Cricetulus griseus: one gene and its partners. The protein of the gene in region 5 purifies or fractionates together with the protein of the main gene of each other region. This does not show direct contact. Links are inferred from orthologs where the notes say so. Each region holds a gene or a part of one and is shown on either strand. Other genes may lie near its edges.

What was found.
Region 1: the proteins of Cd2bp2 (region 5) and Eapp purify together in Homo sapiens (affinity purification with mass spectrometry; 3 studies listed by BioGRID and IntAct, counting the BioPlex papers as one, with this or other methods). This does not show direct contact. The link is inferred for Cricetulus griseus from reciprocal best matches to the Homo sapiens genes CD2BP2 and EAPP.
Region 2: the proteins of Cd2bp2 (region 5) and Prpf3 purify together in Homo sapiens (affinity purification with mass spectrometry; 3 studies listed by BioGRID and IntAct, with this or other methods). This does not show direct contact. The link is inferred for Cricetulus griseus from reciprocal best matches to the Homo sapiens genes CD2BP2 and PRPF3.
Region 3: the proteins of Cd2bp2 (region 5) and Ddx23 purify together in Homo sapiens (affinity purification with mass spectrometry; 6 studies listed by BioGRID and IntAct, counting the BioPlex papers as one, with this or other methods). This does not show direct contact. The link is inferred for Cricetulus griseus from reciprocal best matches to the Homo sapiens genes CD2BP2 and DDX23.
Region 4: the proteins of Cd2bp2 (region 5) and Sart1 purify together in Homo sapiens (affinity purification with mass spectrometry; 4 studies listed by BioGRID and IntAct, with this or other methods). This does not show direct contact. The link is inferred for Cricetulus griseus from reciprocal best matches to the Homo sapiens genes CD2BP2 and SART1.
Region 6: the proteins of Cd2bp2 (region 5) and Dhx38 purify together in Homo sapiens (affinity purification with mass spectrometry; 3 studies listed by BioGRID and IntAct, counting the BioPlex papers as one, with this or other methods). This does not show direct contact. The link is inferred for Cricetulus griseus from reciprocal best matches to the Homo sapiens genes CD2BP2 and DHX38.
Region 7: the proteins of Cd2bp2 (region 5) and Usp39 purify together in Homo sapiens (affinity purification with mass spectrometry; 5 studies listed by BioGRID and IntAct, with this or other methods). This does not show direct contact. The link is inferred for Cricetulus griseus from reciprocal best matches to the Homo sapiens genes CD2BP2 and USP39.

What each region holds. Positions count from the first base shown.
Region 1 is NC_048598.1:147,611,368-147,614,867, reverse strand, and holds part of Eapp (E2F-associated phosphoprotein), read right to left. Parts: coding exon 3,490-3,500; intron 2,268-3,489; coding exon 2,172-2,267; intron 1-2,171. UniProt on the Homo sapiens protein: May play an important role in the fine-tuning of both major E2F1 activities, the regulation of the cell-cycle and the induction of apoptosis. Promotes S-phase entry, and inhibits p14(ARP) expression.
Region 2 is NW_023276806.1:60,654,367-60,657,866, reverse strand, and holds part of Prpf3 (U4/U6 small nuclear ribonucleoprotein Prp3), read right to left. Parts: intron 1,318-3,500; exon of another isoform or gene 1,317-1,317; coding exon 1,186-1,316; intron 1-1,185. UniProt on the Homo sapiens protein: Plays a role in pre-mRNA splicing as component of the U4/U6-U5 tri-snRNP complex that is involved in spliceosome assembly, and as component of the precatalytic spliceosome (spliceosome B complex).
Region 3 is NC_048595.1:395,146,137-395,150,421, forward strand, and holds the start of Ddx23 (probable ATP-dependent RNA helicase DDX23), read right to left. Parts: upstream 2,801-4,285; 5' UTR 2,648-2,800; intron 1-2,647. UniProt on the Homo sapiens protein: Involved in pre-mRNA splicing and its phosphorylated form (by SRPK2) is required for spliceosomal B complex formation.
Region 4 is NC_048596.1:53,945,796-53,949,863, forward strand, and holds the start of Sart1 (U4/U6.U5 tri-snRNP-associated protein 1), read left to right. Parts: upstream 1-1,268; 5' UTR 1,269-1,344; coding exon 1,345-1,657; intron 1,658-3,799; coding exon 3,800-3,857; intron 3,858-4,068. UniProt on the Homo sapiens protein: Plays a role in mRNA splicing as a component of the U4/U6-U5 tri-snRNP, one of the building blocks of the spliceosome. May also bind to DNA.
Region 5 is NC_048596.1:73,578,254-73,582,435, forward strand, and holds the start of Cd2bp2 (CD2 antigen cytoplasmic tail-binding protein 2), read left to right. Parts: upstream 1-1,382; 5' UTR 1,383-1,537; intron 1,538-1,990; exon of another isoform or gene 1,991-1,996; 5' UTR 1,997-2,019; coding exon 2,020-2,097; intron 2,098-2,292; coding exon 2,293-2,428; intron 2,429-2,544; coding exon 2,545-2,702; intron 2,703-2,804; coding exon 2,805-3,240; intron 3,241-3,318; coding exon 3,319-3,425; intron 3,426-3,503; coding exon 3,504-3,614; 3' UTR 3,615-4,182. UniProt on the Homo sapiens protein: Involved in pre-mRNA splicing as component of the U5 snRNP complex that is involved in spliceosome assembly.
Region 6 is NC_048596.1:185,933,518-185,937,585, reverse strand, and holds the start of Dhx38 (pre-mRNA-splicing factor ATP-dependent RNA helicase PRP16), read left to right. Parts: upstream 1-1,268; 5' UTR 1,269-1,573; intron 1,574-4,068. UniProt on the Homo sapiens protein: Probable ATP-binding RNA helicase. Involved in pre-mRNA splicing as component of the spliceosome.
Region 7 is NC_048601.1:64,076,363-64,080,454, reverse strand, and holds the start of Usp39 (U4/U6.U5 tri-snRNP-associated protein 2), read left to right. Parts: upstream 1-1,292; 5' UTR 1,293-1,325; coding exon 1,326-1,590; intron 1,591-3,680; coding exon 3,681-3,750; intron 3,751-4,092.

The DNA of each region.
Region 1 (3,500 bases), on a different chromosome or scaffold from region 5:
TCTGTAGACCAGGCTGGCCTTGAACTCACAGAGATCCACCTGCCTCTGCCTCCCAAGTGCTGGGATTAAAGGCGTGCATAACTACCACCTGTCAAGTCTGGCTTTTCTGAGTCCATGAGCTTTGCTTCTAAATTAGTTGGTATTCTTGCCAGCAGAGCTCAGATGCTTGCTATCAAAATGGTATTTTAGTTTGTTCAGCTTCATAGATTTTGCTAACAGAACTTCACAACAAATAAAATATCATGACTTCTCAATTCCTGCTGTAATTGTTGAGGTAAACCATACTGTAAAAAAAATACTATATTTTCTTAATATTTTCCTATATATAATCCATTGGTTTTTCGAGACAGGTTTTCTCTGTGTAGTTTTGGAGCCTATCCTGGCAGTGCTCTGGAGACCAGGCTGGCCTCGAACTCACAGAGATCCGCCTGCCTCTGCCTCCTGAGTGCTGGGATTAAAAGCATGGGCCACCAATGCCAGCCATAGGATGGTTTTCTAATGAAAATAATATACAATAATAGCTTTTATAAGACAAAAGATGATACATTGCATATTTCAGTCAACACAGTTTATTAAAATGTTCTATGACTGGTCAGGCATGGTGGAGCACGTCTTTTATCCCAGCACTGGGGAGGCAGAGGCAGGTGGATCTCTGTGAGGTCAAGCCCAGCCCAGTCTACAGCGTGAGTTTTAGGACACACAGAGCTGGTATGCAGAGAAGCCCTGCCCCGAAAAGCCCTGTCTTGGTTTTTTATAACCCTGTAACTATCACAAGGGAGCAATATTCACATCAACCACAGCTGAACATAAAAAGACAGATCAGCATCTAGATTAAGTTTCCATGGTACACCAGCTTTTATTTTATTTTATTTTTTTGCAGTAGTTGATGATTTTACATTTACCCATTAATTATAATTTATAAAGTGTAGTTTTACCTCCAGTATTGCTGCTTTCAAAACATTAGCTGCTCTCTACACATGTGTGACTGGTCTGCATAAGGACATTACTGCACCCAACCTGTCACATACACCTGTATTTGTTTGGGGTACATGTGAAGGAGTTGGAGTGATGATGTCATCACACCTGTATCTACATGTAGGTGGACCACCTGGAGGCCGAGAGAGGCACAGTGTCTCAGTTCCTGAGAACACGGGATATGTGTGTTTTCTGATGGTCTTAGGCAACCCCTGTGAAAGAGTGGTACCCCACATGTTGAGAACTGCTATTGTAAACGCACACATCTGCACGCCCTGCCTTTCTTATTAACCAATTCTGCACCCCCATCAACAGCATACACTTTCTTTCTTTTTTTCTTTTAAGGACAGGGTCTTGAGCCAGGCGTTGATGGCACACACCTTTAATTCCAGCACTCAGGAGGCTAGAGGCAGGTGGATCTCTGTGAGTTCGAGACCAGCCTGGTCTACAAGAGCTAGTTCCAGGACAGCCTCCAAAGCCACAGAGAAACCCTGTCTCGGAAAAAAAAAAAAAAAAAAAAAAGAAAAAAAAAAAAAGACAGGGTCTTACTGTATAGCTCTGGTCTGCCTCTGCCTCCCTGAGTGCTGGGACTAAAGGTGTAGCCACCACACTTGCACACTTGGCTTAGTCTATAGTTTCTTTCTTTCTTTTTTCTTTCTTTTTTTGTTTTTTGTTTGTTTGTTTGTTTTTGTTTCTCTGTGTAGTCTTGGAGCCTGGCCTGGAACTCACTTTGTAGACCAGGCTGGCCTTGAACTCACAGAGATCCACCTGCCTCTGCCTCCCCAGTGCTGGGATAAAAGATGTGTGCCACCACCACCCAACAGTCTATAGTTTCTTAAAAATAACTTAAGAGAAGAGCTGGAGAGACGGCTCAGCAGTTAAGAGCACTGGCTGCTCTTCCAGAGGACCCAGGTTAGATTTCCAGCACCTACATGGTGTGGCTCACTGAAGATGGAGGTTTCTGCCCTGCTGGTCCCACAGCTCACAAACATCTATAACTCCAGTTCCAGAGAATTCAACACCCTCTCCAGGACTCCAAAGGCACCAGGAATGAACATGGTGCACAGACAATACATGCAGGCCAAACACCCATTAACATAAAATTTAAAAAAATTCAGATGGAAAATCTAATATTAAATAACTGTCAAGGCAGATAATATTCATAAAATACACCTGCTAAACAAAAAGGTACTCACCTGCTTTGTCTTCATCCTCAGAATCGGAATCAAAATAAATGTCATCATAGTACTTTGCTGTAACTCCTCCAACATTCCCAACTGCCGAAGACCCTCCTAAACCACAAGTGACATTTAGAAACTAAACCACATATGGTCCTCGAGGAAACAAAGAGCCTGTATATATACTTCTATTACACAAACAATATTAATTTATTCACAATCTCATTTGTATAGTAAAATATTCTTATGCCAGTGACTTACTTGGTATCTGTGCCCTATGTACCCATAGGGAATCACTCCTGGACAAGTTTTCCAAATTAGGAGAAAATTGTTCTTTCTCCCTTCCCACAAATCTAATTAAAACTTAAATGCAGATTTCCTGGTTCTCAGCATATATACTTCTACTTTTTCATGCATAATACAAATACTCCATGGAGAACAGGGAAGGGATGTCTTGTTTCAAGGGATGTTAAGACAGGGATATGGACCAAGAACAGACTTCCTCTCTCCAGCTTGTCTTCACATGCCTGTGTCCCTGATTCTTCCTCTGCGTCAATTATATCTTTCAGTTCCTCAAGTTATAAACACACCAACGTGAAAACCAGTTCCGAGCAGTCCTACTTCCACAAACCAATTTCTGGGTCAAGTAACTTTTACATAAAAATCTAAAAATGAAATATGCTTATTAGTCACTACAAACGGACAGGAATCTGTAGTGACATACCATTAAACCTTACAATTTTTCGTATGCCTTGTTTTTCTTTAGGTTTTTTTGAGACGGGGCTTCTCTGTGTAGCCCTCGCTGTTCTAGAACTCACTCTGTAGACAGGCTGGCCTCAAACTCTAAGATCCGCCTCTCTCTGCCCCCAAATGCTGGGGGTAAAGGTGTGGGCCACTATGCCCACATGTGTTAAAAACTACAAAAGGAAATAATACATGTATTTGTTATTAAATAATATCTTTCCAATAACACATGACACGTGTTAGTCAGTGGAAAACTCGGGCAGATTGTCAAGTACATTCATTTCTTCATTTAGTAAGGATTGTATTAATCAGGCCTGTTCACACTCAAGAATCGAGGCAAAAGGATCACATAGGCTACAGTGAGTTCAAGGCCAGACTGAATAACTAACCAGACCCTGTCTCAAATTTTAAGGGAGGTGGGGCTAGAAGTCGGTGGTAGAACATTTACCTAACAAACACAAGACCCAGGTTTACCTCCCATCACTACCCGTCATTCACACACACACACACACACACACACACACACACACACATATATACACTCATTCACTCCCTTACAGGGTGTCTTGTGAGAACTGAGCCCACAGTTTACCTGTCCCCATG
Region 2 (3,500 bases), on a different chromosome or scaffold from region 5:
GCACTCAGGAGGCTGGGTCAGAACCTGAGTTTGAGGGCAGCCTGGGCTTGGTGGCAAGATCTTGTCTCAAAAACCCAAAACAAGGGCTGGAGGGATAATTAAGAGGTTAAGAGTGAGTATGGCTCTTCCAAGGACTAGTGTGGTTCCTAGCACGTATATATATGGTTGCTCAAAACTACCTGTAATTCAAGCCCCAAGGGATTTGACACCCTCTTCTGACCTTTATGGTCATCTGTGTGTATACACATACATAAATAAAAATTTTAAATGAATCTTTAAAAAAATCCATAAACAAAAGAAAACATATTAAAGACAAAAACAAGCTGATCATGGTGGTACACACTTGTAACCCTAGCACTCAGAGAATCACAGTCCAAGACAGGCAGAGCTAGCTATATAGTAAGACCCTATCTCAGAACAAACCAACCAAAAACCCAAAAGAGGCAAAAGAAAGTCAGACAGAGAAATGGGCTACATTGGGGAACTGAGATAAGATCATATATAAAAAGACCATGACTATACTGTAACCACAAAATAAGTACTTAGCAGAAAAGGGAGTATTTCTAACTCTTTCACACATCCCACTCATGGAGCCAGTAACCACATACAACAAATGTGGACTATATGGCAGTTAGTTTCAGGCATCTTATCTACAAGTATATTAAATAGAAATCTTTATTAATGAACAAGACTAAGGTCCACAGTCAGGAAGCAGTGGAGATATGATGAATCAACTTACTAGACTTTAAGTAGACCAAGATTCTTAGATCAATCAATTTATAGGTAGTAGGTAAAGAGGGAATGGTGAAAATAAAATGTATGAATAAAGAAAGGACAAGCTATCAATTACTTCCTTGGACTATTTTAAATGAACCTTTTTGAGAAAGGTTCAGGGTGATGGAGATAATATAAATCCTACCCTTCTACTTTAATGTCTGAGGCTCCCTCTTGAACACTGGGTGTTCTATTTTGTTGTTGTTTTTAACTCTATTTGTTGCAGTACTGGGATTGAGCCCAGAACCTCATGCATGCTGGACAAGCACTAAGCTCTCTATTACTGAATTTTAACCGTAGCCCTCACACTAGGTGTTCTAATAGTAGATGTCAAAGTGTAAGCAGGTATGCCAGCACATTTCTTATTCCAAACACTCCTGAGCTTATTATTATATAGTGACCGTAACCTACCTTTAGTTCTCGTTTTCTGCTTCTGTCACTGCTAGACTTGGAATGTCTAGAGCTTCGACCTTCCTCCACAGCCTCAAACAGCTTATCCACAAATCGGAGAGTAGAATCATCAAGAAAAGGTTTCAGGTGATCTGACAGGAAAAAAGAAGCCACAGATTGAAGAGGTAAAAGTATACAGTTCAATACCAAACATGTAATAAACAACAGACTAGAATAAAAGGGAAAAAGGTTTTACTCTTCATTTCTTTAAGGTATTGTTATTTTATTTATTTATTTATTTATTTATTTATTTATTTATTTGGTTTTTCGAGACAGGGTTTCTCTATGTAGCTTTGGAGCCTATCAGGCACTCACTCTGGAGACCAGGCTGGCCTCGAACTCAAACAGATCCACCTGCCTCTGCCTCCTGAGTGCTGGGATTAAAGGCATGAGCCACCAACAGCCGGCTGTAATTTTATGTTTTGACTATTCATGTCACTACATGCTGCACGCCCAAGGAGGACAGTAGACAGCACTGGAATTAAGACAGCTGTGAGCTGACATGTAGGTGTTGGGAATTGAACCTGGGTCTGCCACAAAAGCAGACAGTGCTCTTAACCGCTGGGCCATCTCTCTAGCTCATGTAAAAAAACATTTTAAGAACTTCTTTGTAGAGGACTAGAGAAATGGTTAAGAGCACATACTGCTATTGCAGAGGGCCCAAGTTTGTTATGCAGAATCCACAATGAGATGCTGACAACTGCCTATGACCTGGGGGGCGGGGGGATCTAATGCCTCTGAGGGCACCTTCCCTCACACACACATAAATTTATCTTCCCTCACATACCCCTCCCCCAAATTTAAAATTGTAGTGGCTCAAGAGGTGTTTTATCAATTAAAAGCACTGGCTGCTTTTCCAGGAACCTAAGTTTGATTCCTAGTACCCACATGGAAGCTCACAACTGTATGCTGCAACTCCAGTTTTAGGGGACTGAACTCTTTCTAGCTAGCTGCACACTTCTGGGGTGTATACATAAATGTAAATGAAACACACACATAAAAAGTAAAATAAAAGCCGGGCATTGGTGGGCATTGGTGGCTCAAGCCTTTAACCCCAGCACTTGAGAGGCAGAGGCTGAGGCAGGCGGATCTCTGGGAATTCAAGACCAGCCTGGTCTACAAGAGCTAGTTCCAGGACAGCCTCCAAAGCCACAGAGAAGGCCTATCTCAAAAAACCAAAAATAAATAAATAAAATAAAATAGCTTCAGACACATTATGTCTTTAGTTCTAGTACTCAGGAGACAGAGGCCAATTAGAGCTAAATAGTGAAATCCTGTCTTCATAACTAAGTAAATAGTTTTCTTCTCGGAATTCCCAATTCCTGATATACTTAATGACCCTGCTATATGAGGTAAAAGGTTCTAATTTTTTTTGGAGCACAAAGTAGTAGAGCCAGATAAATCTGCTTAAATTAAAATTCAAAGTTTAAGATGAGGGCTGGGAAAGTAGCTCTTTGGAAGAGTACTTTGCTTGATAGGCACAAAGGCTTGGGTCCCCAGCACCCTAAAAGATAAATATCACATCATTTAAACTTTTCATACACAACAAATCAAAGGCAACTACCAGCAAACCCACCTCCCTGTACCTTTTCATGCATCTTATTAGACTTCCACACTCTAAGGCATCAATCGGATCAGGCTATTTGACTGAACAGTGCTTCCTAAGCAAACTTGATTTAGGTGACTTGGGATGGTGGCCAAAGACTGATTTATTAACGTGCCACAAATAATAAAGAGAGAGAGAAAAATTGGTTATTTAAGCTCTTCCCATTATAACAGAGGGAAAATAAGGAGAGAGGGTATGGCTCAGTTGGTACAATGCTTGTCTAGATTCTGGTTTCCTCCATCTCCAGGACTGCAAAAGTCAGGTGTGATACATGCTTATAATCCCAGGATTCCGGATGTAGAGTAGTGGTCCTCAACCTTCCTTTAATACAGGTCCTCATGTTGTGGTGACTCTAACCATAAAATTATTTCATTGCTACTTCATAAGTGCAATTTTGCTACTGTTACGAATTATAATGTGCAGGACACAGCTGTTATGTGTCCCCTGTGGGGTCAAAACCCACAGGTTGAGAACCACTGATGTAGAGGAAAGAGAATCATAAATCTTAGGCCATCCTCCCCTACATACTGATTTGGAAGCCAGGCTGGGCACCACTGAACCCTGTCTTATAAACAAATAAACAAACAAATAAATAAATAAGGAGTAAGGAGGGTAGTACACACCTTTAACCCCAACACTCAGGAGGCAGAGGAATGTGGATCTCTAGGAG
Region 3 (4,285 bases), on a different chromosome or scaffold from region 5:
AGATTTTTAAAATTACCATTCCCCAAATAATGCAAAACAACAATTTACAAAGCCATTTGTCATTTATAATTAATCTAGAAAATCTTTTAAAGTATGCAGGGGGATTATGTAGTGTATATGCAAATATTGTGACATTTTATGGAAGATACGTGAGCATATGCTGACTTTGTTATTCACCTAGGGTCCTAGAACCAATTCTCCTCAGATAATCACAAGGGGCAACTATATCTAAGCAGGAGATGACAGTGGCTTGTTCTAGGGATGCAAAAAGAGACAGGCATACTTTGGCAGTAGAGCTAACAAGACTTACTGATAAAGGGAAAAACTACAGAGGAGACACAAAGACAGCTCCTGGGGCTGGGGAGATAGCTCAGCAGGTAGGAGTGTTTTCTGTACATGCTAAATTCCCAGTGCCCATGTTAAAGCTAGACATGGTTAAATATACCTGTAACTCCAGGGCTATAAGGAAGGTGGAAGCAGGAGGCCATCCCAAGTTCAAGGGGAGACCTGTCCCGGGGGAATGAGATGATGGAGCAGGACACCCAGTGTCCTCCTCTGTCCCTCCCACAACACATATACTATGTATTCACCACTCATACACACACATACACAATTTACAAAAACAAAACTTCTTTTGCATTCTCTATTTGATGATAAAATAAACATGTTACTGTCAAAGTTTGGGGAAGGGATGAGATAGCGGAAAACAGTTCCTAAATGTACATACAGTTTGAGGAAACTACTGGTTTTTGTTACCATCAGTGAAGCAACCAGAGAAGACTAGGGAAGGAACAGAACAAAAGTGCCATTTTTGCCAGCTTGTGGGATATTAAGAAAGCAACCAAAGAGAAATCTGGAACTCTAAAGAGACACGGGAAGACAAAAATATGAGTACAGAGACAGCTGTTAAGTCATTGTGTCTTAAACATCACCTAAGCAGGCAGAAGAGGAGATCCACAGTGCAGCTCTAGCACACTAACACTGAAGGGTGCCTAGAAGAGACAAAAGAAAAGACTAGAAAAAAACAGCAGCAGGGATGGGGGTAGGGGTGTAAACTATAACAATGCAGAAGCAAAACACATTTCAAAGAGAGAATAGTCAACACAGAACCATTGAAGATTTGGGAGGGGAGGAGATGACTAGTGGCCTTCACAAAAGCTGTTTGAATGGCAGGAAAGGGGAAGAATACAAACTTGGATGGAGTGGGTCTGGAAGAGAACTGAAACTGACAATAAAAGCAAAATAAACTGTTAGGGTCCAGGGCAAAAGCACCTGAATTTCAACTTAATCTCACTGAGAACATTAAAAGAGCTTTTTTCCCCCCCCCCCATTAAAAGAGCTCTAAGTGCCGGGTGTTGGTGGCGCTCGCCTTTAATCCCAGCACTCGGGAGGCAGAGGCAGAGGCAGGCAGATCTCTGTGAGTTCGAGGCCAGCCTAGTCTTCAGAGCGAGTGCCAGGATAGGCTCCAAAGCTACACAGAGAAACCCTGTCCCGAGAGAGAAAAAAAAAAATTCCTGTGGTGACTTACAAGAAAGTGTGTGTGTGTGTGTGTGTGTGTGTGTGTGTGTGTGTGTGTGTGTGTGTGTGTGTGGTTTTTCCAGACAGGGTTTCTCTGTGCAGCGCTGGCTGTCCTGGAACTCATTCTATAGACCAGACTGGCCTCAGAGAGATCCACCTGCCTCTACCTCCCTGCTGGAATTAAACGTGTGCACCATCACCACCTGCCTGAAAACATTGCTTTTATTCTCTGTCTATTGATATCTAACTACAATATATATATATACATATATATGTATATAAATATATAAACTAGGAGAAATGCTAAGTAGTCTACGACTGAAATCTTAGCATTAGGAAGGTGAAGGTAGGACTAAGTTCAAAGTCAGGACAGACTAAGCTGCATACTGAGTTCAAGGCCAGCTTGACCTACAAGAGACCCTGTCTGCAAAACCAAAAATGCAAATATAGGCAATGATTATAGAAGACCCTGGCTGTGCTTCCCAGTTCTGCTGTAGGGCAAAGGCGAATTATTTTCATTTAACTGTTGCTACTATATGTAAGACTCGGTCCTAGGCCCTGTGGTAGTTACAAAATGAAATTCTGCCCACAGGAAGCAGAAGGCATGAGACACGCCAAGGTAAAGACTAATCAGATAAGTATTGCGAGAATCCAAAGTAGCAGTTTCTTTCCATTCGTAAGAGAGGATATGGAAGGATCCACGGAAGAAGTGTATCCTGAGCATTTGAAGATGAGGGTGAGGGTTAGAACTAATTTCCGGCAAAAGCAGTAATACTGGCGACGCCGTAGCGGGAAAGCACAGACTGGTTTCTGGAAGTACATCAGAGGTCCAGTCTGGTTGAAGTAAAGGATCAGGAATAAAGTCAGACTGAGGTATAGCAAGCGCGATGTCCATGGGCCAAAATCTTGGCTCATAACATCGTCCTGGAGGTGGCCTGTGCCCCAGACAGCCAACACTGCTCCTGGGGCCCGCGCCCCTTCGCTCCTGACCGCCAGAGCTTCCCGGGCTCGTGCCCCTTCCCTGAGGCGTTCTTCCCCGTCTGGACCAAGAAGCGGAAGCCAGGGCTATCTCCCCGCTCTCGCCCACTTTCCAAACTCATAGGAATCACCTCCGCCGCCCAACACTCACCACCCCGCGTCTGAACCGCCTAACGCGGCCTCAACGTCGCCGAGCAGTCGCCATCTTTCGCGTTTCCTGATCGCGGAGGAGCACCCTGGCCGCGCGGGTAGCCGGGAAGGCGAGTTCCTGGGCCCGCACCGCGCGAGCTGACGAACGGGCTCCAAAAACTACCAATCCCAGAATGCACGCGAGAGGGCCCCGAGCCACAAGGTCTTCTGGGTAGTGTGGTCCGCGAAGGTTCGGTTTCTGTGGGAGAAAGAATTTTCCAAGTGTTGTCTTCCCAGCCTGCAAGGTTCTCTTGTGGCTCAGGCTCTCTGGAATCTTCTAGTAGACACTGGAGTTAATCGCAGTCATAGCTGGCAGCGAGGGAATTTTTGCGGCAACAAGTAATTTACTGTTTTTTAAAAAATGTTTTTATAAAAATCGCGAGAGAGATTATTGCCTCCCTTTTACAGCTGGATGAACTAAAAGTTAGTTAACTGGAGCAGCCTATGAAGGTAGTACAGTTTTCATGGTAGAACTACCCCAATCGTAGGAAGGTATTTTAACAATCTTGAGCCCCAGCCCCAGTAGGGTGAATTCCTTAATGCTCCAAGCCCCCCCCCCCAATAAATAATAAACCGACATTCCAAAGACTTCCCAGGAAGGACTTTCTCCTAAACTCTTACTGCTGACTCAACATCCCAGATGGGACCCACGAAAATTATTTTCTTCAGGATCATTTGGGCTGTTTGGGCCACTTGTTATTGTTGGTTTCTTCCTTCAGGTTCTCCCTCCATCGGTCCACTGAATTTTTCTTCTAATCACATACCCACTTTCTTCCTTTTTGGTTCAAACTGCACCATCAGCACCCGCCAAAACAAAATGAAAGTTGTACCTGCTAAGATGGCTGAGAGAAACTGGGGTACCCAGCACTTCCTTAAACAACATTTCCCCATCAACTTTGCTTTAATCCCACAGAGTTGTTGGCCTGGTTTGCCTTTTTATTTGTTTATTTTATTTTTATTTAATGTGCATTGGTGTTTTGCCTGCATGAATGTCTGTGTGAGGGTGTCAGATCCCCTGGAACTGGAGTTACAAACAGTTGTAAGCTGCCATGTGGGTGCAGGGAATTGAACCTGGATCCTCTGGAAGAGAACCCAGTGGTCCTATGGCTGAGTCATTTATTTCTCCAGCCTCCAGTCTCTTTTTTTTTTTTTCACTCTATATATTCTTTCTGTTCTCAAACAGGGTCTCTGAATATATCCCAATCCAAAATCTCAGCTTCACAGACAGTGCTCTGTGTAGTTTAGGAGACTTTAGGAGAGCTCTAGTAACCTTATACATTGCAACTTCTAGCACAGGGAGGGCTCAGTCAGTCTGAGATCTATTGGGAATAATGAACACTAGAGGGCTCTCCACTCACAGACTGAAACCCTAATGCAAAAAAAAAAAAAAAAAAAAAAAAAAAAAAAAAAAAAAAAAAAACCCTACAGACCAAAGGTGGCTGGGAGTTTTAGAACCCTTCAGCTGTTGACAGTCTTCCTAATGCCAATCCCTTCCAGCTCTGGCTAGACACTTAGGCTGCTTGTCTTACTCAGTTGTCATATCAGTATGACATGGGCATCCTTTGGTTTTACTGATAAGGAGTGTGGCCTAATACCTATG
Region 4 (4,068 bases), about 20 Mb from region 5:
GGTTATGCATTGTGGGGCGGGGGGGGGGCAGTGGTAAGTGGGTGGCCTGGACTTAGCTACTTCCCACATATTCTGGGAACCCTGGCTGCACCCCTTCCTCGGCAAACACATGCTGTCTCTGCTACTGAGTGGGACACCTAGAAATGCTAGTGAACAGGTCCACCTCTGAAGACTCAGTAGTAGAGCAGAGCCGTAAAGGAGCAGGAAAACCATACCAAAACACGCCGAGGTGTGCTACACAGGAAACCCACAGAGGAGCAACTAGTAGCAGAAGGGAGTGTGTGAATCCTTAACTTTAAAGCTCATCTCCTCAAGACCAAAACAAAACAACCAAACCAAACAAGCAATCAACCAAATAAAAAAGCCCAGGAAGAGAGAAAAGGCTGGGAAAGCAAGGCATTGTGGCTTGTGCCTGTAATCCCGGACTGAGGCCACATAGTTAACGGGACAGAGGAAGGAAAGAGAGAGGGGGGGGGAGGGAGGGAGGGAAGAAGGAAGGGAGGAAGGAAGGCAGGCAGGCAAAAGAAAAACGGATCTGCCCAATTTGCACTTGAGCCTGGCTTGGGCGAGCATGCCTGAAATCCCGGCCACTCGCAGCACACGGGAGGCTGAACCAGAGGGTTCGAGACCTGCCAGGGCTACGTAACAAGCACTAGGCCAACCAGACCTATATAGACCCTATCTTAAAAAGAAAATTAGAAACAAAAACAGCACTCAATTTCACGGGGTTCACAGGCACAAATTCATAGTGTTCCGTAGCAGTCCAGAGCTCAGGTTAAAAAGACCCAATCTACCAATCCAGGGAAAGTGGGCGACGGTAGCATTCGCTGGCAACAGTGGTTTATTGGGGTTGCAAGTCTGGGGCTTTGCAGCTGGTTTCTTCAAGAAGAAAACATGCGGTATCTTCCAACCCCGGACGGATCCCCGGCCCCGGGGAGCCTACGAGAAGGACAATCACTGGAGGAGGGGACGCCCACGAAGAGGCTTGAGGCACAGAGCGCCACGAGGCTCTCGGAGTGGAAAGGTCAGGGAAAGAGCTCCCAGCTCCGCAGACGGTGGCTTTTAGCACGATTCCAAAGCTGTTACAGTTCTAACCCGGGAGAGCCAATGCCGACCCCGTAGCCTCTACAGGTGCACATGCGCAGAGCCAGTCCCCGGGAGCCGGGAATGCGCAGTCTCAACCCGTCCCTCCCATGAGCCTCTGGAGGTTCCCAGGCCGGCCCCGGAAGCAGCCGCTCTTAGTTTCCGGCAACAGCGCAGCGGCGGCCGCACGACCCGGAAGTATTCCCATTTTGCGTCGTCTGGGCTCGGGTGGCGGCCCGGCTCCAGACGGACGCACTAGTCATGGGGTCGTCAAAGAAGCACCGCGGGGAGAAGGAGGCGGCGGGGACGACGGCGGCGGCCGGTACCGGGGGCGCCACCGAGCAGCCGCCGCGGCATCGAGAGCACAAGAAACACAAACATCGCAGCAGCGGCGGCGGCAGCAGCGGCGGCGAACGACGGAAGCGGAGCCGCGAGCGTGGGGGCGAGCGCGGGAGCGGGAGGCGCGGGGCCGAAGCCGAGGCCCGCGGCGGCGCGCACGGTCGCGAACGAAGTCAAGCGGAGCCCTCGGAGCGGCGCGTGAAGCGAGAGAAACGCGATGACGGCTACGAGGCCGGTGAGGGCGGGGCGGGGGCGGGGCAGGGGCCTGGGGTGCGCGGGACGGAGGGTGCAGGGTGACCGCCAGGGCCTGTGCCTCTCGGGCTGAAGACTTGCTCCGGCTGTTGGGGACTAAAGACTGACTCCCCATGTTAAGCTTCGGAAGGACCGGGGTCTTGCGTTTCCCCTTCCCGTCTGGCACTTGACAGTAAATGCGGTGGGTGGGCGAAAGGAGGAGGTGCGAGCATGCACAGACAGAGGCAAGAGAAACCTGACAGTAGGTGGAATCGTCATGAAGCAGTAAGATACGCTTGGGTCTGAACACCAAGGACCCTGTGCTGTAAGCTCTGTTGAGAAATTTGGGCTTTGTGATGAAGACGGTAGGGAGTCGAGGATTTGAGTAGGGAAGTGGGTTGATTTACTTCATATGTTAAGATCACACTGGATTGAGCTGGGCATTGGTGGCGCACGCCTTTAATGCCAGCACTCGGGAGGCAGAGGCAGGCAGATCTCTGTGAGTTCGAGGCCAGCCTGGTCTCCAGAGTGACTGCCAGGATAGGCTCCAAAGCTACACAGAGAAACCCTGTCTCGAAAAACAAAAAAAAAAAAAAAAAAAAAAAAGGATCTCTGGGTTGAGAGCTTGTCAAAAATAGGACTACAGACCCTGAGATTAGGAGGGAGGTCAACCCAACCAGGTGAGGACTAACAGTGAGTATGCATGTTTCTCCATGCAGTAGGGTGGAGAGACTGGAAAGATTGAATAGGTGTTTAGGAAGTGCAATGAACAAAATTTAGTGCGTGGGCTAAGGGGATGGGAGGGATGAGGAACAGGGAATGCCTCCTGGAGTTTTGACCTTACCCGCCTGGTGAATGGTTTTCATCTGTTGAAGTTGGTGTTTAGAAGACTAGCAGATTTGAGGCAAGGGAGAATGACCCAGTTTGGGAGAGCTTTGGTCAGTGTGTATGGGAAAACCTACAGTTTAAGTGGGATAGAGTGATTTGAGGCTAGTGTGTATTCAGGAATCCAAAGTGCCCTAGAGTGTGTGGAGTGAGAACTAGGATCAGAAATAGAACTTAGTAAATGCCAATAGCTCAATTGTGGGCAGAGAAACATACTTAAAAAATAAAGAGTAGCCAAATGGCAAGAACACTACAGTTGGGTCATAGGATCTGTACAAAGAGATGATTGTTGAAAAGACAGAGTGGTTAAGAGCATCACACACCACAGGGCATTATGCAGAACCAGAACTTGTAAACAAAGGGTTGTTTTCATTTTATGCATTTGAGTGTTTTACCTCCATATGTGAATATGCACTTGGTGCATTCCTAGTGCCTGTGGAGGTTCAGAGGAGGACATTGGATCCCCTGAAAATGAGTTAGGTGGTTGTGAGATGCCATATAGATTATGGGAACCAAACCTGGGTCCTCTGTAAGAACAGCAAGTGCTCTTATCCACTGAGACATCTCCCCAGCCCCTAAATTGAAACTTTTTTTTTTTTTTTAATAATCTGCTAATTGGAAAAAGGGAGACTTGAGACTTGAGAGTTCATATAGAAAATGGGGTCCAGAGCCTAGGTGGAGGAGGAAGGGTTTAAAGAGCAGTGAGTAGTGTGTGACAGGGGACTTGGGCATCCTGGTGGCATCTTCCTCTGTATAGTGTTTATTGAAGTTCTCTCCTGTTTGTGGGGTGGATAGATCAGGTCCAGAGTGCTTCCTTTCCTATGTCCATAGCATCTGGCATGGAACACACACTAGTAAGTATTCCATACACTGCTGTGGGCAGAAAGTGCCAGAAATGACAAGCAGTGCTGTGCCGTTCTAGGCAGAGTTTTAATTCTGGTCAGTAATTGAGCAGGGCTTCATGGAGGAGATGATACTTGCTCTTTTGATAGAACTTTATGAGAACAAGAGCAGAAGGGACTGTGGAGGCTGAAGGTAGAGTGTGGAGATTTGGAGTGGCACAGTGAGGGATGCAGAAAAAAGATAAGGGCCTGGGTAGCAGCTGCAGGGAACCCTGGGGGAAGAAGGCTGCTGTTTTCTGGTGTCATCTACCCAGGTGCTGGTGGGGGCCCTTGTCTTCGACCTTGCAACTGAAGACCATGATGTTGCTTCTTGGTCCCATGTTCATGGGTTCCTTAAGCCGTGCTCCTTATTGTTCTAGCTGCCAGCTCCAAAACTAGCTCTGGAGATGCCTCGTCACTTAGCATCGAGGAGACCAAGTGAGTAGCCCTTATGCTGTTTTGATTTTCCTCTGAGACTGGTTGCACCTGGGGCTGTTACCTATAGAAACTTTTTCAATCTAAATGAAGCCAGTTAGAATTGGAATGGCCAGATGAGTCATACTGCCAACCATAGGAGCTACGTGGAAGAAACTGAGACCCAAGAGGAAGGATAGTCTTCCCCAGTCAGGAAGCCTGTTCTGGAAGCCTG
Region 5 (4,182 bases):
AGGGTGGACTGGCTGCCTTCAGTTCATCTCAGCAGGTGCACACAATCAATCATCCAGTTCTTGTTTTCTATGGCTAGCTTGTAGCCCCCCAGCCCTCCCCCTTGCTTTCTCCCCAGGGATCAGGATAGTAAAGGCATGGGGTTTGTGGTCCTAAGGTGGAGCTCCTCATGGCAGTTCAGCAGGATGAGGCTCAGGGGTGTGTGGTCTCCAGGTAGAAGAGGAAGTTCCCTCTGGGATGCACCATAGTGCCCAGAGCTGGTGTTTCAGGCATTCTGTAGCAAGATGCCCTCCTGGGCTAGGACCTGTGTTCTGTGCCCGTGGAAGAAACTGAGGACACAATTCCAAGTTTCATGGTGATTCAGAATGGAGAAAATCCTGCAAGAGAAAGGTGTGGTCCATCTGGCCGCCCTCATCCAGCTCTTGCAGGATCACCTGAGCTATCTAGCCTGGGGGGGAGGTGTTCTGGCTTTGAGTTGTTCTCAAGAGCTCCAGATCTAGACTTCACTAGACAGGAAGATCTCACCTGGCTCCACCTCTGCAGGAGCGGGATTCCATCACCTTAGCATTTTGCTGAGGGGTGGGGTAGACTTCACCTTGCAACTGGATGTACCCCAGAGTAGGGCATTATGGGCTTCTGGCTGGGTACTGCTCGGATGCCAATGCTACTTCCTGTTATAGTTCCCCTGCAGAAAGAAGGAATTGAATGGGAACAGACATGGGGCTGGGTCCTAAAAGGAGCTAGATTTGGAAAGTGCCTAAGTATTGACAGCCAGAAACAGGACTCAGGAAAAGCAAGAATTTTTTTTTTTTTTTTTAAAGAGACATCTCACGTTGTATCCCCGATTGGCCTCAATCTCGCGACAATCAGTCCTGCTTATTTCCCGAGCGCTGGGACTGTGTCAAGCTTGGAAAGCAGGGTTTCTATTGAATTCCGTTGGGCGCAAAGAGCCCTATATAGAGAGTCAGACTGGAGCCCACAGCTTCTGCTCGGCCTTTGTCCCTCCATCCAGGACTTGGGAACCTCTTTTTTTTTTTGGTTTTTGAGGCAAGGTTTCTCTTTGTGACTTTGGAGGCTGTCCTGGAACTAGCTCTGTAGACCAGGCTGGTTTCGAACTCACAGAGATCTGCCTGCCTCTGTCTCCCGAGTGCTGGGATTAAAGGCGTGCGCCACCACCGCCCGGCCTTCAGCACCTCTTTAAGCAGACAGAGCGTCACGTCCTCACCTGAGTCTCCATTTCAGAGGAATAACAAACACTTGCCGCCATCCTCAAGCTAAGTAAGGCTGGGGCTGGTATAGGAGTTCACGCGAGTCTTTTGGGGTCTTACGTCACTTCCTGCGGAGACTGTCTTGACCAAATGTACACATCCGCCCGTTCCGACAGTCTTTTGGATGGGAGTGAAGCAGCTTCCGGCCTTATGGAGGTCTCCACAGTCTCCTTCCGGGTTATGGAGGCGAGTGCCCCGGATGTAATACTGGCGAAAGCATCTTTCCTTTCTTTCCCCGCCTGACCCCGGGCTCCTCGGTGAGCGCCAGCCGGTAAGACTGTTCGAATCCCTGCGAATTTGCTTCCTCTCTAATTTGTGCGCCGACTCTGACATGGTCTAGCAGCTCGCTGCGTGGAACTGGGGGTCCTAAGCAACCAGGGCGCCAGCTCTTGGGTCCGACCGGCCTCTGTGGGCACTCGGGTGGGAGCTGGGGGAGCCCTGTAGCTCCGCACTGGTAGGGGAGTGGTGACGTAGGGGAGCCTGGCTTTTTTTCCTGCGTGGGAGTACGCACAGGGTCCGCGCGGGGGCGGAGATCCGCCCGTCAGGGCCTCTGAATGAATTGCCAAACCAATTCCCGACGACCCGCCTGCTAGCGCTTGAGATGGTTCAGTGACCCTTCCTCGCTCAAACGGGACCTGGCGCTTACCAAGGAAAATGTGGTGCCACAGCGCTCTCGCGGCCGGCTCTCCTTACCTAATTTTCTTACTCCGTATCCTTTTCCGAGGTCCAGCTGGAGGAAGTGTTCTGCCAGTCATGCCAAAGAGGAAAGTGACTTTTCAAGGTGTGGGAGATGAGGATGATGAAGATGAAATCAGTGTCCCCAAAAAGAAGGTGAGATGGTCAGACTCCTAATGTCTGTGGAGGACTGAGGAGAAATAAAAGGAAGGAAAGCTGAGAAGCGAAAGAAAGGGTTAGTTTGCCCCGGTGCGCTGGGTTTGGTAGGTTTTCAGTTTGGATACAGATCCTGGAATATTTGGGAAGCTCGCCAGTAGGTTGCCTTTCTCATTTGCTGGTTTCTACTCACAGCTGGTGGACCCTGTGGCTGGAGCAGGGGGTCCTGGGAGCCGCTTCAAAGGCAAACACTCTTTAGACAGTGATGAGGAGGATGATGATGATGAAGGGTCCAGCAAGTATGATATCCTGGCCTCAGAGGATGTAGAAGGTGAGTTATTCCCAAAACATTAGCTGTGTTGGAGGGCAAGTCTGATTATGGAGGTGGGAAGTGTGCCTGTCTCTTTTTTGCATGCCTAGCATGGGGCCCCCATGTCTTTGGTGCAGGTCAGGAAGCAGCTACTCTCCCTAGTGAGGGGGGTGTGAGGATCACACCCTTCAACCTGCAGGAAGAGATGGAGGAAGGCCACTTTGATGCTGATGGCAACTACTTCCTGAACCAGGATGCACAGATCCGAGACAGCTGGCTGGACAACATTGACTGGGTGTGGCCCAGGAGCTGTCCTGGCTGAGGCCTGGGAATGCAGGTGCTGGGCCTGGGCCCTGGTGGAAGTTTGTAGGAAATAATAATTATCTTTCCCTTATAGGTGAAGATCAAGGAGCGGCCACCTGATAAGCACCAGGTTTCAGACTCAGAGGAGGAAGACAGCCTGGGTCAGACTCCGATGAGTGCCCAAGCCCTCCTGGAGGGACTTTTGGAGCTGCTGTTGCCAAGAGAGACAGTGGCTGGGGCACTTAGGCGTTTGGGGGCCCGAGGAGGAGGCAAAGGGGACAGCAAGGGGACTGGACGGCCCAATTCCCCACAGCGCCTAGACCGGCTCTCTGGGTTGGCTGATCAAATGGTGGCTCGAGGCAACCTTGGTGTATACCAGGAAACAAGGGAACGATTGGCTATGTGTCTGAAGGGTTTGGGGTGTCGGACTCAGGGATCCCATGACCCCACACCTCCACCCTCCCTGGACATGTTTGCTGACGAAGTGACAGAGGGAGAACTGGAAACCCCGACCCCTGCGCATAAAGGAGGTAAGCTTTTAGGACACAGGAGAGGCAATGCCAGTGGGAGACTGGGCACTTAAGGCCGATACGTCTTTGTTGTCTTAGAAGCAGAGTCAGCGGGAGATGGTCTAATGGATGTGATGTGGGAATATAAGTGGGAGAACACGGGGGATGCTGAGCTGTATGGACCATTCACCAGTGCCCAGATGCAGGTCAGTGGCTTCCTCCTGTCTTGTCTGTCCATCCCGACTTCTGTCATCTTTCCTAAGTTTTGTCCTCTCTTCTTACAGACCTGGGTGACTGAAGGCTACTTCCCGGATGGTGTTTATTGCCGGAAGCTGGACCCTCCAGGTGGTCAGTTCTACAATTCCAAGCGCATTGATTTTGATCTCTACACGTGAACCTGCTAAGGGCCCAGTGTGGTAGCCCCTTTTTCTTGGACTTGGCAGAGGAGGCCCCAGCTGCCCTGGGCAGTGAGGATCTTGGAAGCTACTCTTCAGCCACTTTCCCTTTCCCAATAAAAGCCTTGAGTGTGCATCAGGGCCTTGATGTGCTGGTAGCCAGAAGCCAGGGCTCCTCCGTAGCTCCTGTTGGCTTACCTGGCCCTTGAGTGTCTCCTCCTTCCTTAGATGCTTCTCTCTGGTGTCTTGGACCACCTCGGTTTGTTTTCCGCCCTTGGTGGCAGTAGTAGGGCCCGTCAGGTGTCCTGTGACTTGCCATGTCAAATTCCCTTCAATCACTCTATTCTCCTATCTCCCCTGCAAGTCCTTGTTTTGCTGATCTTCAGCTTTTAGGACCTCAGATTCTCTGGCCTAGTAACCCCTTTGCAGCTGGGACATTTGGAAAAGTTTGAGATCCTATTGAGAACACTCAGGAGGCCTCTTAAACATGGGTTCTCCTCTTCTCCCTAGTCTGATTTTTCCTTCCCTTGCAGTAGCTCCCATAGCTCTTAGGTGAAGCATGAACTTA
Region 6 (4,068 bases), about 110 Mb from region 5:
AAGCGCTGATCCCACTCAATAGTCTGTGGAGCTGTGCACAACTGAGTAGGAAGGTAGCTGCACAAAGACAGGTTGGCCTGCCACTAAAGGATACTGCTATCCCCACCCTCAATATCACTGCCTGACTCCAAATGGAACCAGAATTTATGGGAAGTGCTGAGGCAGACAAACTTGCTGATCTCAGCATTCTAGGAGGACGAGCAGTTGGGAATAGCAGAGGCTCAGTACATAGCTCACCCATCTCTCTGCACTTTGCATTGTTTTAAATCTAACATTTAATGAGATTCCCATAGCCCTACACAGAAAACGTCCAGATTTTTATCACGGTAGCATACCATTTCATATGTGGACCACACTTTAGTGGTCCTTCATTGATGGACGTTTGTATATTCTCGTGACCTGGCTTAAGGCGTCTTCCTAGGTGCACTTTATCACATGGCAAACAGATCAGTTATGAGTGTGTGGAGCCAGGCGCTGTGGCACACACCTTTGATCCCAATACTTGGAAGGCAGAGGCAGGCAGATCTCTGTGAGTTTGAGACCAGCCTGGTCTATACAGTAGGCTCCAGGACAGCCTGGGCTACATAGAAAAACTCTTTCTTGAAAAACAACAACAACGAAAGTGTGTGGAAATCACAATTAAATAAATATTCCAAGATATCATCAAAGGACATACTTGAACATGGACAAGTGATTATTATTTCCACTAAGGGTCTCGTTTAGTAGCTCAGGCTGGCTTTGAGTTTGTGGCAATCTTCCTGTCTCTGCCTCACAATTGCTGGGATTACAGGAGCGTGCCACCAAGCCAGGTAGATAACTTATTTACTCAGGGCGGATATGTCTACTTTCCAAAACGTTCCGCACCTGTGTTTTACAAGATGCGGGCGGTTGGGTTACTCCTGGTCCACAGGTGCCAGGGAGGACACAAACCACCTGTCAGCAGTCCGGATTCCTTCACCGATAGCCAAGGCACAACTGTCTCCTTCATCGGTCCCAACCCGGGAAAGGACCTTAACCCCAACTAACCTGGGCTGTTGCTTAGAAACCCTTCTTTGGCCTGCAAACCCGAACAAACGGAAGTGAAAATGAAACACGGACGCAGAAAATGAACGTACCATCGCGCGTCCCAGTCAATAGCCCAATAAGCAGACGGCGTTATTATAGTTCTCGCCCATTTGGCACTGCCCCAACAGGAAGTTATGTCATTTCCGCCCTTAGTAAATATGGCTGACCTCGGTCTGTCTTGCCTCTCACGCCCACAGGCCAGAGGCGGGGTATCAGCTATCACTCTAAGCACGATTGGTCGCAAGGAAACCTGGGGCCCAGAGGAAGACACCGTGGCTTTGAAGGCGTGTTCACGTTGTTTCTCTCTGGCGTCCAGGAACCTTGTATTTCTGGGCTACTCTCGATGGTATTTTTGGACGGATAGAGGACCCCGCGCAGGGCATTATGGGACAATGATGGCCGCTTTCAAACAGTGGAATTTACCTCTTTGAGACCCTCAGACCGAGCAGTGTTCGCGCTGGCGTCCCCAGATCAGTGGCAGAAGGTCCCGAGAGTCGTGCTTGGTGAAGTGAGTATCTCTTCCTCTTTCCAGATCCGTCCTTCGGCCGCCATGGTGGCTCCAGGCGGCCGGGGTCGGTTCGCGGCTTAGGTTTTGGGCCCTGGTTTCAGAGTTCCTCTTGTCCTTGTTACCCAACTTTCTCTACTCACTTGAGCGGTCTTGTGTCTATTCAGCCTGCTCCGGACTTTGTCCCCGTTATGGTCACATCCTTGTGTTTGGGAACGGCCCCCTGAGATCGAGGCATCCGCCCTGCGCCCTGGTTTATTTAGGACGGTGCCCTAACCTGTTACCTAGAGAGTCTGGATAGGGCTCCTGCTGCCTTCCTCCTTTCTCACCGAAGTGTCTCCATTAAGTCTGGTGGTTAATCTATAGGTAGAATATTAACCGCAAAGGGCAGGGAGTTTTTGGTTTTTGTTTTTAAAATCGGTATTGTTGAGAACAATTGACTCAAGGACACATGCAGTTGCTGCCCAAGAAGTCCTTTGTGGCTTCTGTGTCACTGATCTTTCTCCATAATCTGGCCCTGGAATTCCTTGTTTGCTATTTTGAGCGGACAATTAAATCCTTCCTTGACCTGTGTTGTGGATAAACTTCTTGTTGTCCAGAGAAATGTTTGAGTTCTTGTTCTCTTTTAATAGGATATATTTATTCATTTGCTTTAAAATTAGACTTTCATTTTGCCATTGCTGGGTTATAGCAGTCAACAAGACAGCCTCTCGCTTGTATGCAAATGACATTTTAGGACATAAGTCATCATTCAGGTAACTGCTGAGAGTCTGTGTACCTCAGTCTCCCCGTCTGGATTTCCTCATGTATATTTACATGTAACTTTCTTTTTCTGCTCCACCTGATGGAATTTCCAAATGAAGCTCTTGTTTGTTCATCTACATCATGTTTGCAGTACTCCTTGGTAGAGCTGTGCATGCCGATTAGAATATGGCAAAAGAAGTGTAGATTCCAGAGGTACAGTTCTTATGCTTTAACGACTTACTGGAATGAGAATAATTGTCTGTGTGTCCAACATAAGTTCATGCTTCTAAGTAGATGGTATCAGTTAAAGACGAGTGTGTTATCAACCAGGAGATCTTGCAGTCTCTTAAACACTTTCCTGAAATACCACTTCCTTAACTTAGCATTTCTCATATGCAAGTTTGGTAAATACAGTTTCTTATTCAAGAGATTTTTGCCAGCTATGGGCAGCTTTTTTTCCCCCCTTTTTGCACAAAACACTACTGATCACAACAAAAGTCACCAAGTGTGTAGAATATGGATGGTAAAATTATGTCCTTACACTTACACTTTGTGGAACCTGTGGCTTCAAGGGGGAGGGGATAGGTGAGTAGAAGAATGTATATAAAATATTAGAAATATTAGTAAGGAAACTAGTCAGTATACAGGGGCATAATAGCAAATGTGTAATAATTACACTGACAAAACATCTATGGTTCATGTACAGTTGTTAGATTCTCACAGTGGTTCTGTGCAGTGTATAGAGAAGTAATAGCTAACCAAGCCTGCTGCTTACTCTCACAGAAGCAGAAAATGCCAAGAGCCTGGGTATCTTTTTTATTTTTATTTTTTAATGTCTGTTACTAAAGAAGAGGGTGTGCTGCTGCAGCTGACATGAAAAAGGCCAGCGTGTTTGGTTGATGTTTGGAGGCAGTAAGCCAATGGGGATCTTAAAGGTGATTATTGTGATTCTTAAGTAGAGAAAGTAGAAGGGTGAAATTACAGGAGAATAAATTAAATAATGGGTAGGGAAAATCTATGAGTGAGGGCCATGGGCATGAATGAATGAATATGTCACTAAATAGTCTAGCAGTTATGAAACTCACTATGTATCTCAGGCTAGCTTCAAATTTGCCATCCTCTGGAGCCTCCTCAGCTTCTCACCTGCTAAGATTACAAGTGGGTGTCACCGTGCGTAGGACCAGAAACTGGATTTTAATTGAGGTTTCTGACTTACATCTAGTTCCCCTTCTAGTCCCTTTTTGTATTCCAGTAAGAAGTCCTTACTGAAGTTTATTCTTGTCTGGATGATACCCTCTTGATCCTACCACTTGCTCTGTGTATATGTGTCTCTGTGTCTTTCATATATGTTGAGGTGGGAACTGGGAAACTTTTTGAGATCGTCACTGATTTGGTGGGAAAGTCTTCGGAAGTAGCAAAGGGGGCTAGAGAGATGGCTCAGTTGGTGAAGTGCCTTCTCACAAGCATGAGGATCCGAGTACAAGGAAAGCTATGAGTAGAGGCACTTGTGTGCTGAAGAGGCAGACACAGGCAGATCCCAGGAGCTTGCTGACACCCTAGCTTGGCTGGATTTACTCCCAGTCCAGTGAGAGACCCTGTCTCAAAAAGTAAGGGAGCAACTGAGAAAACACTTGACATTGACCTCTGGCCTCATGTGCACACAGTGCCTGTGTACCTGCATGAACACACACACACACACACACACACACACACACACACACACCCTCTGATAGCAGAAGATGCTTTGGGCTCAG
Region 7 (4,092 bases), on a different chromosome or scaffold from region 5:
TGCGCCACCCAGTTTACTTACTGTAGGCTTTGTACGTGGGTGTTGGGATTTGAATTCAGGTCCTCATGCTTGTACAGTAAGCATTCTCGCCATCTGAGCCATCTTCCCAGTTGCTTGCTTATTTTCAAGTGGACATACTAAGAACACCTGTCTCATATAGGTAATGAGGCAGACAAGTGCTCAGGTAGGTAAGTTTTCTCCACCCATACCCAGCCCCTATTCCAGCCACATTGGGGCTTCACTGTCCCGGCCCAGACCACTTGCTTAACTGTGCCCATGGGAGGAGCCAAGGCTTTTGAGGGTCTAATAATATTGAGCCATCTCTCCTTTCTTTCTTTCCTTCTGCTATGGAGCTCAGGATAGTCTCAGCCTAACTATGTAGCTTAGGCTGGCCTTAAACTTTGGGAATCTTTCTGCCTCAGCCTGAGTCTATATTTTTTTAAGTCCTTGTTTCAAAATGTGGAAATCAGGAACTCATTATTAGAACAGTGACAGACTAGTACTAGTACAACTGTGTGATGGAATATTGCAATGCAATGTAAAGGAATAGATTGTCTGTACGTCAGGTGTAAAAGAGGCCAAGTTAGAAAGTTAACACTGTATAACTCTCGAGTATAAAATTCTAGGAAATGCAGTCACCCAGTGGTTTGGGTGGGAATCCACAGGGGCACAAGGACATTTCTGGAGTGAGACAAGTTTCTTCTCTTGATTATGGCAATGGATTCACAAGTGTTCACACTTCAGAATTTAGCTAATTACACTCGTCAAATATGTGGTACTCTGTATGTCAATTATACCTCAATGGAACTGTTCAAATAGGCAGGGACTAAGGCATGCCTCAGTGGTAAAACTGAATTTGGAGTTTTATTAGCTAAACAGTAAGTGAGCCTTGGCAGAGTATTTGCAATTTTCTAATTTCAGGATCCCTCTAAATATGGTACTAATTGAAGTTCCCAGGTACAAACCTGAATGGAGGAGATAAATTTGGGAATACTGACTCTCTTTTCTGTGTAGGTCATCAGCTCTGGATCAGAGGACTTCTCTGGATTGTCGTTTCGAGACACAAACTGTGTCGAATGCCAGCTTCCTTTCTTCTACAATCACTGTAGCCTGTGAAAGGTTCCTATCTCTTTAATCTGTGAAGAGATGATGGATAAAGAATTGTCTCAACTGGGCAAGTAGTGCCCATTAGGGTCCAGCCGTCTGTATTGTCCCTCTCAGCGACTCGTAGGGAGCTGCGCGTCAGAGGCCAGCTCGGTTCCTGATTGGCCGCGTGCCTCCAGCGTGCGCGGCGCCAGCGCGGAAGCTCCTAGCCGGTGGCGGCGATGTCTAGCCGGTCTAAGCGGCAGTCTCATGGTTCCACCCGCGGGAAGCGCGAGTCCGAGTCGCGGGGTAGCTCGGGTCGCATCAAGAAGGAGCGAGACCGCGAGCGGGAGCCGGAGGCGGCGAGCTCTCGGGGCAGTCCGGTCCGCGTGAAGCGGGAAGCCGAGCCGACTGCGCGAGAGGTCCCGGCGCCTGCGCCCCCGGCCGTGAGGGTGAAGCGGGAGCGCGAGGCCGACGAGGACTCGGAGCCCGAGCGGGAGGTGCGAGGTGCGCGGGGCCGGGCCGGGTGCGCCCTCCACCCTCGCCTGCTTTCTTCTTTTCTCCCTTTTCTTTCTTTTTTTGAGACAGGGTCTCAGGAACTTGCTGTTGTAGCCAGAGATAACCTTCCTCTCGCCTTCACCTCCTGCCAGTTTTCGCCTGCTTTTTACTTTCCCTTGCTTCTTACGCTTCCCTGTCCAAGGTTGAATCCAGACTGGACTGTCTTCAGGTGAAGACAGTTCTAATATTAACCGTTGTCACGATACATCACGGCTCCCCTTTGTCGAATAGCCCACGTGAGTTAGGTGCTCTGCTGATAGCGTTACAGGTATTCCCCTCTACAGTTTTTGCAAAATTCCTAAGATGCAGGGTCCTGTTGTAATATCTGGAATAAGCTCGTTCAGCCGGGATCTCTCTGCACCCGATTAAAGTACTGACTATTAGTTCAGTAGTTTGGAGACAATTCTGCTTCTCCTGGGTTTTGCAGGAGGTTGTTGTAGGGGTTCTGTATTGTTTTGTCAAGGATGTTGATATAGTGACTACCCTTGGGAGACAGATTGTATTATTATTCCATAATAGAGCTAAAGGGACGTAAACTCACAAGCAGATAGGATACCCTTCTTTAAGGGCAGGGTTTTTTAATAAGGCAACCCAGTTTGAGCACTGGCTCTTTCTATTCTCTTGTGTGACTTGAATCCAGGAACTGGTGAAGATGTCATGTCATTGGCTATTGTTATTGCTTTAATAGACTCTTGGTTTTAGTCAGTGATATCACATGCCTTCCATCAGTGATCATGAAGCTGTGGCAAGCTAACAAATCAGCTTGCTAGTAGGATTAACTCTCAGAACCATCACAATTCTTAGACAAATGGTAGATTTAAGATGTTCAACTTATCTTAATACTTGTGATATATTGGGTTATGTTTTGTTTTTGTTTGTTTTGAGACAGGGTTTCTTTGTGTAGCCTTGGCTGTCCTGGAACTAGCTTGTAGACCAGGCTGGCCTCTGGACTCACAGAGATCACCTGCCTTTGCCTCCTGAGTGCTGGCATTAAAGGCATGAGCCACCACTACCCAGCACCTCATTAGATATTTATTTAAAGATTTATTTATTTATTTATTTATCATGTATACAGTACATGCCAGAAGAGGACACCAGATCACATTACAGATGGCTGTGAGCCACCAATGTGGTTGCTGGGAATTGAACTCAGAACCTCTGGAAGAACAGTCAGTGCTCTTAACCCCTGAACCATATCTTCAGCCCCTATTTATTTATTTATTTATTTATTTATTTATTTATAGGGTCTATTTGCTTTGTTTTTCGACAAAGGGTTTCTCTGTGTAGCTTTGGAGCCTGTCCTGCAACTTCTCTGTAGACCATGCTGGCCTGGAACTCACAAAGATCTTGCCTGCCTTTGCCTCCTGAGTGCTGGGATTAAAGACGATAGAAGCTATACCGCCTGGCTATTTACAGGGTTTTAATAAGTAGTGTTGGCTGGCCTGGAACTTTCTCTGTAGATCTTGAACTCACAGATTTCTCCTGTCTTTCCCTCTCAAGGGCTAGGATTAGTAGTGTGTGCACCACCACACATGGTGAAAAAAAAAAGGTGTAGTACATTTATTTATATATACGTGTGCATGTACTATGGTGTACATGTGGAGGTTACAGGGCAATTTGTGGGAGTCAGTTCTTCTCTCTTGCTCCCATGCACTCTAGTAATTAGATTTGGTGGCAAATACCTTTACTAAGCAGTCTTCACTTGCTTAGATTATGTAATATGTGAATTAATCTCTTGTTGGTTATGTGTGTAATAGATCTAATCTCAGTTTGCAGTTTTTTTGGAATGTTGTCACTACAAGAAAATTAAAAGCTCATCTTAATCTTAGTTGATCAGATTTTCCCATTTCCATGGGAAATATCCATGGGAAATAGCAACAAACAAAACAAAATGTACTTGTGATTTGAGTAGTCTGCTGTCCTCCATTTATGATGCTGTGTAAGAGCAAATCCTGCCCTTACTAATTAAGTGCTCTATCACTGAGTTACATCCCAGCACAAGTTTTCCATTTTAAAGTCTGTGATGGATTTCTTCTCAGCAAAGAATGGCCGAGTGGATTCTGAGGACCGGAGGAGTCGTCACTGCCCATACCTGGATACCATTAACAGGTCAGTGATACAGAGAGGATGAGGAAAAGTCTTGGGAACATATCTCAGCAGTGGAGTACTTAGCCTGACATGTCAGAGATCCAAGGTTTAATTCCCATTACCATACAAACAAATCAGTAGATTTGAGATACAGAATATGGTAAAAATGTTGTAGAAAATTCTCCAAACTCAGCAGTGAACAATTCATTCAAACTTTTCTCCTTTTTAGCCTTTCTGTCTTGAAAATGGTGCTTCTTGCCACGTTCTTTCATGTTGTCCCTTTAAAGTGGCCAAGTGAGGGTGTTTGTTTATTGTGTATCTCTGGCTGTCCTAGACCTCAGTTTGTGACCAGGCTGCCCTGGA